Linked DNA regions of Rattus norvegicus. The protein of the gene in region 2 binds, or shares a complex with, the protein of the main gene of each other region. Links are inferred from orthologs where the notes say so. Each region holds a gene or a part of one and is shown on either strand. Other genes may lie near its edges.

Region 1 (4,717 bases), on a different chromosome or scaffold from region 2:
CAAAAACAAAAAACAGGCAAACCAAACAGAAAAATATAAATAATAAAAAAACCACCTTCATAAATGTATGAACTGCCAATTATGTATGTTTTAAAAAAGCCATTTGCAAAAAAAAAAAAGCCTATTTGCCTGAGTATTTATTATTTTCTATACTGTTCAATCAATGAATCTATGGTGTTAAAAGATTCTAAAGTAAGCTATTTTAATTTGGACATATCAAGAGAAAGTCCAAAATACATGACCAACTACATACTCATAACATAAAGTCAGTCCCCTGCTTCTCACAAAGTGCTTGACACTTCAACACAGAACAAGAAAACAGTATCTCACCACCATCTGATACAGTCTGACTCTCTGCCACTCCAGAAGTGCCTGTGGTGAGATGAAGAGCAGTTTCTCCTTCCTCTTGCTACCCTCCTCCAGGCACCTTCCCTCTTCCTCTGTGTGCTCTCCCCCATCTTGAGTAACAAAGGCAATCATCACTCAGATACTGCCTGGCCCCTAGTGGAGTGGTTTATGCATACATGGACACTCCCCTTGGTGAACTTCAAGTACTCCGTAGGCCTGGGAAGCTTCCCTCTTTAACAAGGGCACTCTCTTTTCCACACAATCATCCCTAAAAACACAACTAAAATGCACTTGATGGATTCACAACACAGTCCCCAAAGATGTGGCCTGTATCACAATAGTTCAAGCAGCAGCTGTTTCTCAGTGCTAGGACTCTCTGCTCCCTCTCCTTGTATTCCCTCCCTCAAATTAGTGCTCAGAACACACACCTTGCCTACCCCAGCCCAATCTCCTCTCTGAGGCCTGAGATACAATTCCTCAATAAAACAAGATTGAATTTTTCTCAATAATGTTATCTGTCTCTATTCCAGCCTTCACTGTTTTAAACATATTTAACGTATATACCTCAGCCATTTATTTGCTTAACTTACATCTTTAAGGTCTGTCTATCTCATTACTGGATCTTAGACTAATAGTTATTCTTAACAAGGTTTCACCTCATTTACTGTATTCAATAATGGCTCCTTCCTCAGAGCACAAGACAATGTGATGATGCATTTCATGGAACCAAAGACTCAAATATGAATGCCATCTTATTCTCTGATCATTTAAATCAGAATCATTAGAAACTGCTACTGTTTGTTTCATATATTTGTAAATGTGAAAGTACAATTCGGCTTCTCCTGGGTAAAAATTGGAAAAGGACAAAGTGCTTAAGTGCAGAAGATCCTTTCTGATAAGTTCTGCTCTGGTTAGCAACACATTAATATCCGACGGTCCAGTTAGAGAAGCTGTGCAAAAAAAAAAATAAATAAATAAAAAAGAGGAGGAGAAGGAGAGAGAAGAAGAAGAAGAGGAGGAGGAAGAAGAGGAGGAAGAAGAGGAGGAGGAAGAGGAGGAAGAAGAGGAGGAGAAGCCATCTTTTGGGTTCCATCTTGTAAACTTCTGGATTTATAAGATACTACAGGCCTTTTTATGGTCTTATTAATTTGCCCCACTTTAAGAAAAAAATCTACAACAACCTCACTCTGTAACAGCAAAGCTGTAAAGTCTTCAAGTTACCAGTGTCAGAGGATAAACTTCAGGACGAAACTTGTCTGGTATGATCTACATTTCACATGATTACAGTCTTCTGGCTCAAGCATAGCAAGATTACTAAAGCAAGGGAGCCAGCTCTATTCTGTAGAAGTGTACTTAACCACCGTTTCCACAATTCTCATCAATAAGTTAAGATCTTTATGAAAATAAACATCAAACTCAACTTGTCATTTAAAAGTAAAAGCACCATCAGTGGCTTTTCCCTACCTACCTATGAATCGTTCACTTATTTACTCCTTCCTACTGCTCAACAAGTTTTAAGTCAACAAAAATCTTCTGAAAAGTGATGGAGGAGGGAGAACACTCCCCTCTCATTTCTACATTAACCAATGTTACCCGTCTCCTTTCATGACTGGATTCCAGGAATACTATTCAAACTGAAGCCATGAAATCGAAGCTTTGTTTCACAGTAGAAATATTTTTAATATTCTTATATAAAGTCGCATAAAGTTCCACAACTTGAACATCTGTGTCTAGCGCCAATCTGCAGGCAGCAATGTAATTTGATTTCGACCCATTCATCAGAAACTGGTTTTCAGATGCCGCTACAAGTACGTACTAGAGAAATGCTAGCTGCGCTAAGCCGGCATTGTTTGCAGCAGCGTACAAGTTTTTTTTTCTTTTTCTTTTTTTAATTTGGAAGAAGAGCTTAAAAGAGGAAATTCGAATCATTGGCAAGGTTATCATAGAGCTATCCAGAGAACTCTGAATTACTGAACGAACAGAAAACTCTTGGCGACCTGATACGATCACCTAAGAAAGTTTGAAAGGAAGCTATTTAGTGAGTCGGGGAAAAGATTTAAGAGTATCTCGCTTTTTTCTTTTTCCCTGAAAGATTTAAAGTCCTTAATTTTTTTAATTTTACATCTTCACTGTAAAACCATCTCAACCTCAAAGGCAGACTGAGGCCAAATGGACTTTTAAAAGCCTGCTAGCTTCTTTTTAAGGTTACGTATGTAAATGAAAGACACCACAGCAACTTTGATGACAACTCGCAAGTGAGGTTTGGGGTTTTGAAAAAAAAAATACTAGGTGATCAAAAAAAAAAAAATCAAGAGTTTCTAAATAACCACTAAGCGTTTTCCCAAGCAACACATTCCAAGAAACTTCTCAGTCGCAACTCGTAAGAAGGCAGCAGCTGTGTCCGCGACTGCAGCGCCTAGAGTGGGGTTCCGATCCTGAAAGCTTTCATTACCTCTGGTCGCATTCTCTCACTCCAAACCTCCAAGGTCCCCTCCGCTGTCATCCTGGCCGGCCACGCGTGCGGACACTCGGCCGCGCCCCCGCTTCACTTTTCCTCCCCAGCAGGGAAGCGCATCCAAGGCCCGGGACAGAGTCTCCCGCCACTGCGACCCTCAGCTCCCTCCCCACGGCGGATTCTTGACAGCGAGCCTGGCCAACCTCACCTGTGCTGTCATTCGCGGAGAAGCCGGGCGAGCTGAGTTTGGCTCGTTTGGGGTTGGGCGGTCCGTCCAGCAAGTTCTCGGCCATCTTCACCTGCTCGCGGAAACAGCCCTAAGCGCGGGCGGCGCGACGCGGCCCGGACGGGGGTCGGGCCGGCGGCAGCGAGCAGGCTAGCCAGCGAAGAGCGAGCGCAGGAGCGCGGGCCGGGCCGCGGAGGGCGCAGGCCGGGTGGGGGAGGCGGCGGCCAAATCTCAGCCTCAGCAACAGCGCCCCGCAGCGCTCACCGCCCGCCCCCGGCCGCCGCCGCCGCCGCCGGCCGCGGCCCCCTCATCCCCTGCCCGCCTCCCGAGCGCGACACTCCGCGGCCCGGGCACCCAAGCGGCCCGGCCGCCTCCGCGGGCCCGGCTGGCAGCGACGGCGCCCGGCCCCGCGGCTCAGGCGGCGCCCGGGAACATGGTGGTACCGCCGCCGCCGCCTCGCTGCCCCCCCACCGCGCGCGCCCCACTTAATGAATTCGCCCGCGGCCGGACGACCGGGGGGCTCTGGGCTCCGCCGCCCGCCCGCGGCCCGCCGCCGCCGTGAGGAAAAACAATGCGCCGAGCGGGGCCGCCGCCGCGCCGCGGCCCCCCCACCCCGTGCCGCCGCCGCCGCGGCCGCCGCCGCCGCCGCGGCCGCCGCCGGGCTCCGGGAGGCCGAGACGAGAGGCGAGCGGGGCCGCCGGGGCGGGCGCCGAGGGCCGGGCGGAGCGGGCCGGCCAGGCAGAGCGGGGTGCGCGGGCGGTTGTGGGGCCCGGGACCGGCGGGGCCGAGTAGATCGCGCTCGAAGCCCCGGTCGGATCCGCGACAAGATGGCGGCTGTTGATTCCTCAATTAAAAAAAAAAGAAAGTTTTTTTTCTTCTCTTTCCAGAGCCTGAACGGGGAGGGGGAGGGGGCGGGGCACGCCTGTACGTCACCCCCCGCGGCGTCACCACGCACGGCCCCCGCCCCGCCCCCTCCACCTGCGCCGGCCGCGGCGGAAAGAGCCGAGTGCGCTCGGGTGGAAGGGTCGAAGGCGCGGCGGCAGTGCGTGAGGCGACGGGCTGAGGCGCTGGGCCGGGCCTGCGGGACGCGAAGGGCGCAAAGCAGACGGCCACTTTTGTTCTGACGGTGTCAGAAAGGCGGCACGAGCGGGGAGGGCGCCCTGGGCTCGAGCCTAGGCCCCTGGGCGCGGAGTCGGCGCTGATCCGGGCCCTGCCCGTCCGGTCCTGCCCCGGCAGCTCTCCCTCTTCGCAGCTGGCTCCTCGCCTCCTAGCTCGCAAGCCTCCAGTGTGACATCGGACTGGGAAGACGCCTGAGCAACCTGCGCCTCTTCCCCTCGCCCTGTTAGTGATGGCTTAGTGGCGCCTGCAGGTTACAGAAGGTCCTCAGCTCTGTGTGCAGATAGGGAAACTGAGGCAGGAAGGGGGAAAAGCAACTTTTTTCCGAGATCACCAGGGAGAATATGACTGGACAAGAGTCCACCCCTTGTTCTCCCCAAGTTTAGCAAGGGCACTGCGAGGCTTTTTAGTGTCCACTCCCAAGCCCAAAACGATTGGAGCCAGGTCCAACGCTGTCACCTGAAGGAAGAAGCTGTCGGCTCTACCTCCTGGATCTGAGAAGGGCCCGGGTGCCATGACCAAGGGCTTCGATGTTTTAGGGGTGCTCCTCACTTCAGACAACCACTCTGGCT
Region 2 (4,637 bases):
AGATACTTTCTCCCAGTATTTTTGCCTTACTTTATGACACAGAGAATATTTCTAAGTCCGTATGACAATAAATTCAGCAGAAAGACACAAATTAGAATGACCACATGTTGTGCCATACACACCGGGCACCTATAGAGCCCATGAAAGCTGTGAAAATACTGAATCTTTTAGAAAAGTTATTTTAACAAAATTTTTATGAAAGTCTCCTGCTATTAGCAACCACTTCATAATCTGAAAAGTAACTTAAATACGTTGCTAATCCATATTCATGTTTTCACAGGGCCCACACAGAAGGATCTTGAGAAGACTGATGGCATACTCTTCTTTTCAGAGACTTAAAAGTGAAAAAAAAATCATTTGTTTAAATATGTAAAACTTACTAACTGAACACAATCACTTGCATACTCAGTAATCCATTTCTACGTCAAAAATGTAAAGTCATGCTTTTATCATATATGAATTTTAAATGTCAAAGGGACTTTGAAACTAATGATATGATTTTTTTTTTAGTGTGACTTTCCCTTTTTTGTTAAAGTGACGCTGAGATATGTAGTGACGTGAATGCTAAGAAAACCAGTTCCTTTAAAGGAAATGTACTGAATTATTAAAAATAGTTATCACAAAAACCATCAAAGTAGTCTTAAATATTGATGTGTATGATGCTTCTGGGTCTTTTAGTTCTAATTTGTTTTAAAGAGCTTATATTCTTTTAGATATGAAAGGGTGAGGACACAGCATGTAAAAACTCCTTGGTCTAGAGGTACCCAGAACTTCAGACTTCACGGCGCCATTGTTCTTCAGCAGTTTTAAGAGTTTGAAACTTTTACATATGAAAAAGATTTTTTTCCTTAAAAATAAAACTGTCGACAATCTTTTCCCTTCTAGTGAGCTGCAGAATATTGAGATGGCCACCAGTTGCTTTTCAGATCTTCTCACTGAAGATACAAGTCTCAGCAAATTAAAATATTGAGGTAGCACTTAAACGAGCAAATTCACACAAAACACACAGTAAAATAAAAATGGATGGCTTTGTAATATGCTTCACTCCAACTAATGCATGACACTGACTTCAAATTTCCGTATATTAAAATTAATATTTTGGACATTTACTTTAGAGCAAATGCGGTTGAAGATAAGGCCACAGAGAACTTATTTTAAAGTCGAAACCGAATCTTCTGAAACATCGCTTCCAAGTGCTCTTAGCATCTATGAGCGCGTCTGTTAAACATTCAAGAGAAGTATCTCTTTGAGAAGTCACAATGTATGTCAGCTCCTACCCTAGCCAGGCTTTAAATCACATAGCACCTGGACCTAGCTATATTTTTAGTCAGCAGTTGATCACTTAGCTATGGACAGGAGGACTCCCACAGAGCACCTGATATCTTTGGAAGACCTGCCCAAGTCCAAGACTAAGTTATTCATTTAATAACTCCGGTTAACAATTTGCTTTGTGCATGATAATAAAGAGTTGACATTATGATAATGAACTCCAAATCAAGAAAGAGGCTTTCCAACTGTTAGTTACCCTCCAACTTGGTTCATCTGGTTTTGTTTTCAAATGATCATTTCAATTTACATTTTTGTCCTTCATTCTGCTAAAGAAGAACAACTTTAGCTTCTGCCTGACAGAAAACTCAACTCTTGATTTTTTTCCTCCTCCTGAAGTAAATGACACGACCTTCCCACCGTTAGCATCAGAAGCGAAGCAGATTCTTACAGTACAAGAACACAGCCAAACCATCCTGATGTGTAAGAACTTGGGGCAGTTTGGCCACTTCACAACACCCTCTAACAAAGTGCCATGACGATGCAGCCACTCACCTACTCAATGGGAGTTAAGATGAATTTAGCGCTGCAGCCTTCTGATCACCAGCAGAGGTCCAGGCCCCTTCTTGACCTCCTCGAGTCCCTTATATAAAAGCAGCCCAGGCTACTCCCAGTTTCTGCCTCCTCACCTTAGGCTCCTCCCCACTCCCAAGCCATAAAGCACCGGAGCCACACACCCACCTTCCACCCCCACCACGAGGGCTGCCTACTCCAGTTAGCCCTGCCCTGTGCTCGCCCCCTTCCTAGGCTGAAGAGGGGCACTGGTGGGGCGGGGCCTTGGCGACAGTGACCCCATTTTCCTCACACCTGGCGAGCCCCGGGCGGGCGGGAGCCCCGGGCCAAGTTGCTTAGACGATCACCGGCGCACCCTCCTCCCCCCACCCCCAGCGCCTCGGGGTACCCGGTGGCTACTGGCGAGCCCCTCTCTGAAAACTGTCACCAGATCCACACAATGCGGCCTCCCGCGGGAGTTCTGGACCGTGCGGAGACCTGGCTTTCCTGTCAGGGTCGGGCTGCCCGGGCTACCCTGCTCCGAGCTCGCACACGCCTGCCGGAGCACCTTCTGAGGAAACCTGAGGTGGCTCCACTGTGGCCCTCCGGGCCTGCCGGGCCGTGCCCCTCACGAGGACATTCACCTTGTCAGTCACACTCGGCTCTCTAGGCGGGTGACCGGTCCTCAGCCGAGACCCCTCACTCCGACCCCGCCCCGCTATCACGCTCTCTCACTCTTCTCCTAAGTGACTTCTCCTCAGACCGCATCCCCCTCAGACCCAGACTCGATCACCTTGTCTGTCACATTTGGTCCTGTCAAGAGTATGACTTCTCCTCAGTCCCCTCAGTTAAGATTCCGTCACTTTGTCTGTCACGCTCCGTCCTGTCAGAGTGCGACTTTCCAGCCCACGTCCCCTCTAGTTGAGACAGGATTAGGCTGTCAGTTACACAGTCCTGACAGAGAGTGGCTTCTCCTCATCCCGCGTCCCCTCAGCCGAGACCCAGTCACCTAGACAGTCAGATCCAGTCCCCACAGGCCGAGGCCCCCTCACCTTGTCTGTCACACAGTCCGGTCAGAAAGTGACTTCTCAGCCCGCGTCCCCTCAGCCGAGAGAGACCTCGTCAGGCTGTCAGTCTCACCGGGTCCTGTCTGAGTATGACTTCTCCTCAGCCCGTCCCCTCAGCCTGGTCACCTTGTCGTCACACTCAGTCCCCTCAGGCCTCACACGACCCGGTACCCCAGTGCGGCGCCCCAGGTCTCTTCTTCAGCGTCCCTGCGGCGGGCCTTGTGGCCCGGGGCGACTCTGACCTGAGGCGGCGGCTTGGCGGGCAATGTGCGTCCGTGCGGCCGACCCGACCCGAGCGCCCCAGGCGGCGGCCGCTCCGAGTGCGACCGCCCCGCCTGGCCGCGGACGAGCCGAGCTGAGCGACCCGGCCGGACCGGGGGCGGTGCCCAGGGAGAGGCCGGAGGCCCCGCACCCGCAACCAGAGGCCGGCGCCCACGAGACCCGCGTGGCTCTTCAGCGCCCGGCACCCCGCGCTGGTTACCTGGCCGCCTTGCTCCTCACAGTCGCTGGGAGGCGACCCAAGAAGGTCCCACGTTCCTCAGACAGATGCCCATGGCCCGGCTGGTGCCCTGACTGTCACGCAGAAGTTTGTTTTTTTCTAGATGTACTTTTCAGTAACATTTAAAAATAATAATAATAACAATAATAATATAAATTAAGTATATTTAGGATCTCTTTTTATTTTTATTTTTACTCTCAGAACAATATGAAGGAGAACACCTTCATAAACTGACTTTGTGTTAACCATTTAATTTCCTTTTAAATACAATTTTGTGTGTGTGTGTGTGTGTATGTGTACTGAGAGGCATGGTCTCTCTGGGGCTGGAGTTACAAGTGGTTGGTTGGTGCTGGGAACTGAACAAGGGTCCTCTGGACAAACACTAAGTGTTCCTAACCTCTGAGCTGTCTCTCCTGCCCTCAAACTATTTGTTAACCTTGTTCACTAAAGAACAATTAAGAATTTTTAGAATTCTTTAGCACCATTTCTTGCATGGGGGACCTTACACACAGTGTGGAAAGGACTTGGGAATCTCTTGTTTTTAGTTAGAATTTTGGAGCATCTTGTCTCAGGAGCCTGAAGCATGCATGATGGACAGTTCCTTTTCTTGCCCTCTTTCAGCTCTTTCTGTCATGATCTGTCCTAAAGATGCACATTCAGAAAGCCGTCGATGTTCAGGACACCAGAGGACTTTCTTTTACCCTTTCCAATCTTATTGATGAAAATCTTGTTCTATGGCTCTCCTTTGGGAGGTACTGACCTTTGGGAGTTTATAATTGTGCTTCTTGCTCAGGATGCTCCTCCACTCTTAGCATCTTTGTTTGTTGGGAGACAGGGAATTCTTTATTCTTCTGGTACTAAACATCCTCACCAGGGGTTTGTAAGTATGACACTATAATGAAAGCTCAGAGCTTGAATCAACAGATTCATGTCCTTCCACCCTAAAGCCCTCAAATAATAAGACACAGATCAGGTTCATATAGGGACTCTAAAGCCCATTTTACTAACCACACAGAGACTCCATTTCTATGCCTGTCAGTAAGTAATCATGTTGACTTGGGTCAGCATCCCACACTCAGCGGGAAGTACGCATGTGTGTACATGTATGTAGTAAATATGTAGCCAACTTCTTGCTCATGCAGGAGTTCCGATCTACTTTTGTTTTGTTTTTGTTTTGAACTTTTGACTAAGCTTTTTGAAAAGGTTTTGCTATGTTGCCCTGGCTGCCTTGAACTCACTGTGATTCTCCTGAG
Region 3 (4,462 bases), on a different chromosome or scaffold from region 2:
GAGCCCTAGAGGGTCCTTTCCCCAACCCCATACTCCCTGAGTTTGGGGATCAAACTGGAACACTGTCTTTTCCAGGTCTAGCACAAATGAGGTTCAGAAGGGATTGAGGATAGGCGGGGCAACAATAGGAGATGAGGACAATATGGAAGGGAACCAGGGGTTGAGGCTATACATTTTCCTTGACAGTCCCCAGAAGCCGCCATTCTCCCAGGAGCTGTACTAATCCCCAGATGGGTTTAGGGATCAGGGCCATAAGCCAAGGGCCCTTGGGTAAAAGCCTTCCCTTGCACCTCCCCCAGTGCGGCATGTGGAACCACGTCCATTTCTCTCCTTCCCTCCACCCTTTTCCCCATCTCACCTGAGCCTCCTGCACCTTCCCTGCCTGGTTCTCCAGAGGGTCAGAGGCTGGGGAGGAGGGGGAGCAGACGTGGTTACAGTGGGGGGAAATAGTTAAGCAGATGAAGGGTTCACAGTGGTGGAGGCGACAATAGGACCCACCAACCTAATTATCCTGGAGTCATGGATGGTAGTAAAACTATTGGAGATGGGGAAAGGCATGTTTTAGAGTGGAGGAATGTGTGAGGAGGGGAAGGTTTGGGAGGAAAAAGCAGGTGAAACGGGACTGAAGGAAGGTTTCAGAGTTAAGCAGGATAAGGTAGCGAGTGCGAGCCAGGAGAATGAGGGAGGGCTAAGTTTTTCAAGAGATGTTAAGTAGGGATACTTCTGCTGAGAGTTGAGTGTGGGAGAGGAGATGCAGTGAAGGTGGGAGGTTTAGGAGAGGCACAAGAACTGAAGGAATGAGATAGAAAGGGGCCGCAGGGGTCCCCAAACATACTATAGTTGCCCTTAACAACAGGCAACCTTAGCAACCGGGATCGTGGTAACTTTGGTCCTTAGCAACGAGGGTCCTCAGCAACCAAAGTGCGAGAAACGCGATCATTCAAAACTTTGCAAATGGACCCTTAAATTTCACAATCCAGAAACCCACCAACCTAGCAATATCGACCACTTAGCAACAGCCCTCCGAATCCCACTCCCTTCAGGCAGCCTCTGTCTCCCACCCCACCGACCTGCCCGCGGGCCCCGGGGCCTGCAGCCCAAAGCCAGGCCCCGGCGCGGCCCGACCCTCCCACCCTCCCACCAGGGCCCCTAACTCACGGTCCGGCTCGGCCATGGGAACGGGGTGGGGGCTCTCGGGACTGTCACCGACTGCTCTGTCCCGTGACGGCAGCGGAAACAAGAAGGAGCCGAGAGAGGATAGAAAAATACAACTCCCGACAGGCAACGCGGTCCCGTAACCGCTTTCATACGGTGCTCCCCTCACGTTATCAAACTACAAATCCCAAAAGGCTTGGCGCCGGCGGCCATATTAATAAAGGGCGTCTGGAAAATCTGGGGAAACTCAGCGAGCGAATGTCCATCTCATTATTCTGATTGGTTCTGGTGCAGTACAGAGGCGGGGTGTGGCTATTTAACACAGTTTGATTGGGTATATGAGGGGGCGTGTTGGGGAATTCCCAATAGGGCGGAAGCGCTGGAGCTCTCGGCAGAACCCAGCGTCAGGCAGGCGACCGCAGGGGGCCACCCGAGGTGGCAGGGGCAATGGCCGGGGTCGCGTGCTTGGGGAAAACTGCAGACGCCGATGAATGGTGCGACAGTGGCCTGGGCTCTCTAGGTCCCGACGCAGCAGCTCCCGGAGGACCAGGTCTGGTCGCAGAGCTTAGCCCAGAGCTGTCTTGGGCGCCCTTAGTCTTTGGCTACGTCACTGAGGATGGGGACACGTGAGTAAACCTTAAATTACCAATTTACCCTAGGGATCTTACCTGAGTCTCCATTAGCCTATGATTTCTGTGGCTTCTTATCTTCTCGTTCCTAACTCTGATTTCTGATGCTGGACTTCCTGACCCATAACCACCAATCACTAAATTGTGAGACTAGTCCGTTTTCACTCACAGTCAAGTGTCTCAACTTTTCTGAACTCTTAAATTTGAGCTTACGATCCCCAAATCGGGTCTGAACCTTTCTGACCACTCTAGTTCCCACATCTTCTGACCTCTTGCTTCCAGATGTGGTCTTTGGTCTTTGGCTATTCTTGTATAAGCCAGATTTTGATTTCCAAAATTAATTCTTGACCCTGAGTCTACGACGCTGACACATCCAGCACTGACCCTGCAATTGAGAAACCGAGCTACTGGGTGTCATGGGCCTCACAGAAGTTGGGAGGCAAAGGCAGGTTGATCTCTGTGAGTTTGGGGCCACCTGATTGAGATGCCGGCCAGCCAGAGCTACATAAAATTTAGAAGCTCGATTCTATGAAGATGGATTCATCTGTTAGCCAAACGTCTCTCCCTAACTACCACCTTTCAATCCCTGGTTTTAGTTTAGCTGAATGTGGTGGTACACACTTGTCATCCCAGCTCTTAAGGGGCTGAGGCAGGAGGATTGCTAGTCTGAGGAGAGCCTGGGAAGACCGGTATCAAAAAGGAGGGATAAGGAAAAGGAGGAGAGGGAGCCTGGGGGGGGGGTGTGGAGCAGGAAATGTTGATTAGTAGATAAACTGGGGAGAAGGGATGGCTGTGGTGACAGTGTGTGTAAGGGAGTGTACCCGGGATTTTCTTGTCCTTTGTGCTCATTGCGTATACCCAGTGACTCAGTGCCTGACCCATGAGGGGAACCCAATAAACACTCATCTTAAAGAGCCAGGAGTAGTTTCCTTAATTTTCTAATTTTTCACTTTCTACTTTATTGGCCCTTGTTCCTTTATTGTTTCCCTCTGGTTATTTAATTTTTGTAATTTCTTTATCCTTTTTTTTTTTTTTTTTGTTCTTTTTTTCGGAGCTGGGGACCGAACCCAGGGCCTTGCGCTTCCTAGGCAAGCGCTCTACCACTGAGCTAAATCCCCAACCCCCCTCTTTTTTTTTTTTTTTTTGTTTTGTTTTGTTTTGTTTTGCTTGTTTGTTTTTGACAGTCTTGTGTAGCCCATGCTAGCCTTCAGGTTGTAGCTGAGGATGGCTTTGAACTTTTCATTCTCCTGTGTCCACCTCCCAAGTGTGTATCACTACATCCAGCTCAGGGATGTGCGTGTGTGTGTGTGTGTGTGTGTGTGTGTGTGTGTGTGTGTGTGTGTTCGCACTAACCACATAGGCTAGACTAGCTGGCCTGAGAGAACCTTGTCTCTTGCTCCCCACCCTCCTCCTCCTCTTTGAGACAGGGTGGCTGACCTGGAACTCACTATGTAGACCAGACTGGCCTCAAACTCATAAAGATCCATCTGCCTCTATGTCCTGAGTGCTGGGACCAAAGGTGTGCGCCTCTGTGCTCTACTCCAGGGATCTCCTAGTGTTAGGATTATAAATACTTACAACCACACCCAGCTTTTTTTTATGTGGGTTCTGAACTAAGGTCACTGTGCTTTACTTACAAAATAGTTCCCCAGCCACCCACTCCACCCCCTTTTTCGTCAGTGTCTTACTATGTAGCCCAGGCTAGCCTTGAACACTACTGTAAAAAATAATAAAAATAATTGATTCAGCCATTTAGCTCCCAACAAGGACTCTGGCACTAATTATTCATTAATAAATGCCTTGGCTACAAGCTTTGGCTCATTCCCTGGCTAACTTATAACCTATTTAACGCATTCAAACTATCCTATGTCTTCCACGTGGTTACCTTTCCTGCAGTCTCCAGCCTGCCTCTTCCTTAGCGTCGTCTTTCTCAGTGTCTCAGTGACCCCTCCAGTGCCTCTCCCTGCATCTCCCTTTTTTCCTCACCATTTCCCAGAATTCTCTCTCTCTTCCTGGCAGTGTCCCACCTGTTTCCTCCCTCAGCTCATTGGCCATAGGCTTTTTTTTATCGACAGGTGTTGCCTTTAAGAAATTCTGTCCACACTATGAAACTTGTCTTTGGTTTATTTTATTTTATTTGTTTTTTGTTGTTGTTGTTTTTTGTTTTTGTTTTTGTTTTGAGATAGGGTTTCTCTGTGTAGCCCAGACTGTCCCAGAACTCTTTCTGCAGACCAAACTGGCCTTGAACTCAGAGATACATTTGCCATTACCTTCCAAATAATTTACTTTATGCGTATGACTGTTTTACCTGTGTACATGTATGTGGACTGTGTTTGTGCTTGTTGGAGCCCCTGGAACTGGAGGTAGGGATGGCTGTGAGCCACAATGTAGGTGCTGGAAATCAAGTCTGGGTCCTCTGCAAGAGCAACAAGTGGTTTTTTTGTTTTTAAAGGTTTATTTATTTATTATATATAAGTACACTGTAGCTGTCTTCAGACACACCAGAAGAGGGCATCAGACCCCATTACAGATGGTTGGGAGCCACCATGTGGTTGCTGGGAATTGAACTCAAGACCTCTGGAAGAGCAATCAGTGCTCTTAACTGCTGAGCCATCCCTCCTACCCTAGCCTTAAACTCTTGGCCTTCCTGCCTGGGATTCCAGGCAAGGTGGTGCAAG

The links. The genes of interacting proteins can lie anywhere in the genome.
Region 1: the proteins of Pparg (region 2) and Crebbp are in contact, whole or in part, in a crystal structure (PDB 7RLE), measured with the Homo sapiens proteins. The link is inferred for Rattus norvegicus from reciprocal best matches to the Homo sapiens genes PPARG and CREBBP. Residues at the interface, in NP_056953.2 of Homo sapiens: Val321, Gln322, Thr325, Glu326, Lys329, Phe334, Val335, Leu339, Asn340, Gln342, Val343, Thr344, Leu346, Lys347, Leu496, Glu499, Ile500, Lys502; in NP_004371.2 of Homo sapiens: Asp62, Ala63, Ala64, Lys66, His67, Lys68, Gln69, Leu70, Ser71, Leu73, Leu74, Arg75.
Region 3: the proteins of Pparg (region 2) and Nfkbib are in contact, whole or in part, in a crystal structure (PDB 9CK0), measured with the Homo sapiens proteins. The link is inferred for Rattus norvegicus from reciprocal best matches to the Homo sapiens genes PPARG and NFKBIB. Residues at the interface, in NP_056953.2 of Homo sapiens: Gln322, Thr325, Lys329, Phe334, Leu339, Gln342, Val343, Leu346, Lys347, Leu496, Glu499, Ile500; in NP_002494.2 of Homo sapiens: Asn286, Pro287, Ile288, Leu289, Ala290, Leu292, Leu293, Arg294, Ala295.

The regions. Positions count from the first base shown.
Region 1 is NC_086028.1:11,840,742-11,845,458, reverse strand, and holds the start of Crebbp (histone lysine acetyltransferase CREBBP), read right to left. Parts: upstream 3,120-4,717; 5' UTR 3,097-3,119; coding exon 3,012-3,096; intron 1-3,011. UniProt on the Homo sapiens protein: Acetylates histones, giving a specific tag for transcriptional activation. Mediates acetylation of histone H3 at 'Lys-18' and 'Lys-27' (H3K18ac and H3K27ac, respectively).
Region 2 is NC_086022.1:150,094,368-150,099,004, reverse strand, and holds the start of Pparg (peroxisome proliferator-activated receptor gamma), read right to left. Parts: upstream 3,175-4,637; 5' UTR 2,871-3,174; intron 1,948-2,870; exon of another isoform or gene 1,822-1,947; intron 1-1,821. UniProt on the Homo sapiens protein: Nuclear receptor that binds peroxisome proliferators such as hypolipidemic drugs and fatty acids.
Region 3 is NC_086019.1:93,178,269-93,182,730, reverse strand, and holds the start of Nfkbib (NF-kappa-B inhibitor beta), read left to right. Parts: upstream 1-1,343; 5' UTR 1,344-1,602; coding exon 1,603-1,781; intron 1,782-4,462. Other genes in the region: Sirt2 (NAD-dependent protein deacetylase sirtuin-2), read right to left, coding at 359-405, 1,159-1,174. UniProt on the Homo sapiens protein: Inhibits NF-kappa-B by complexing with and trapping it in the cytoplasm.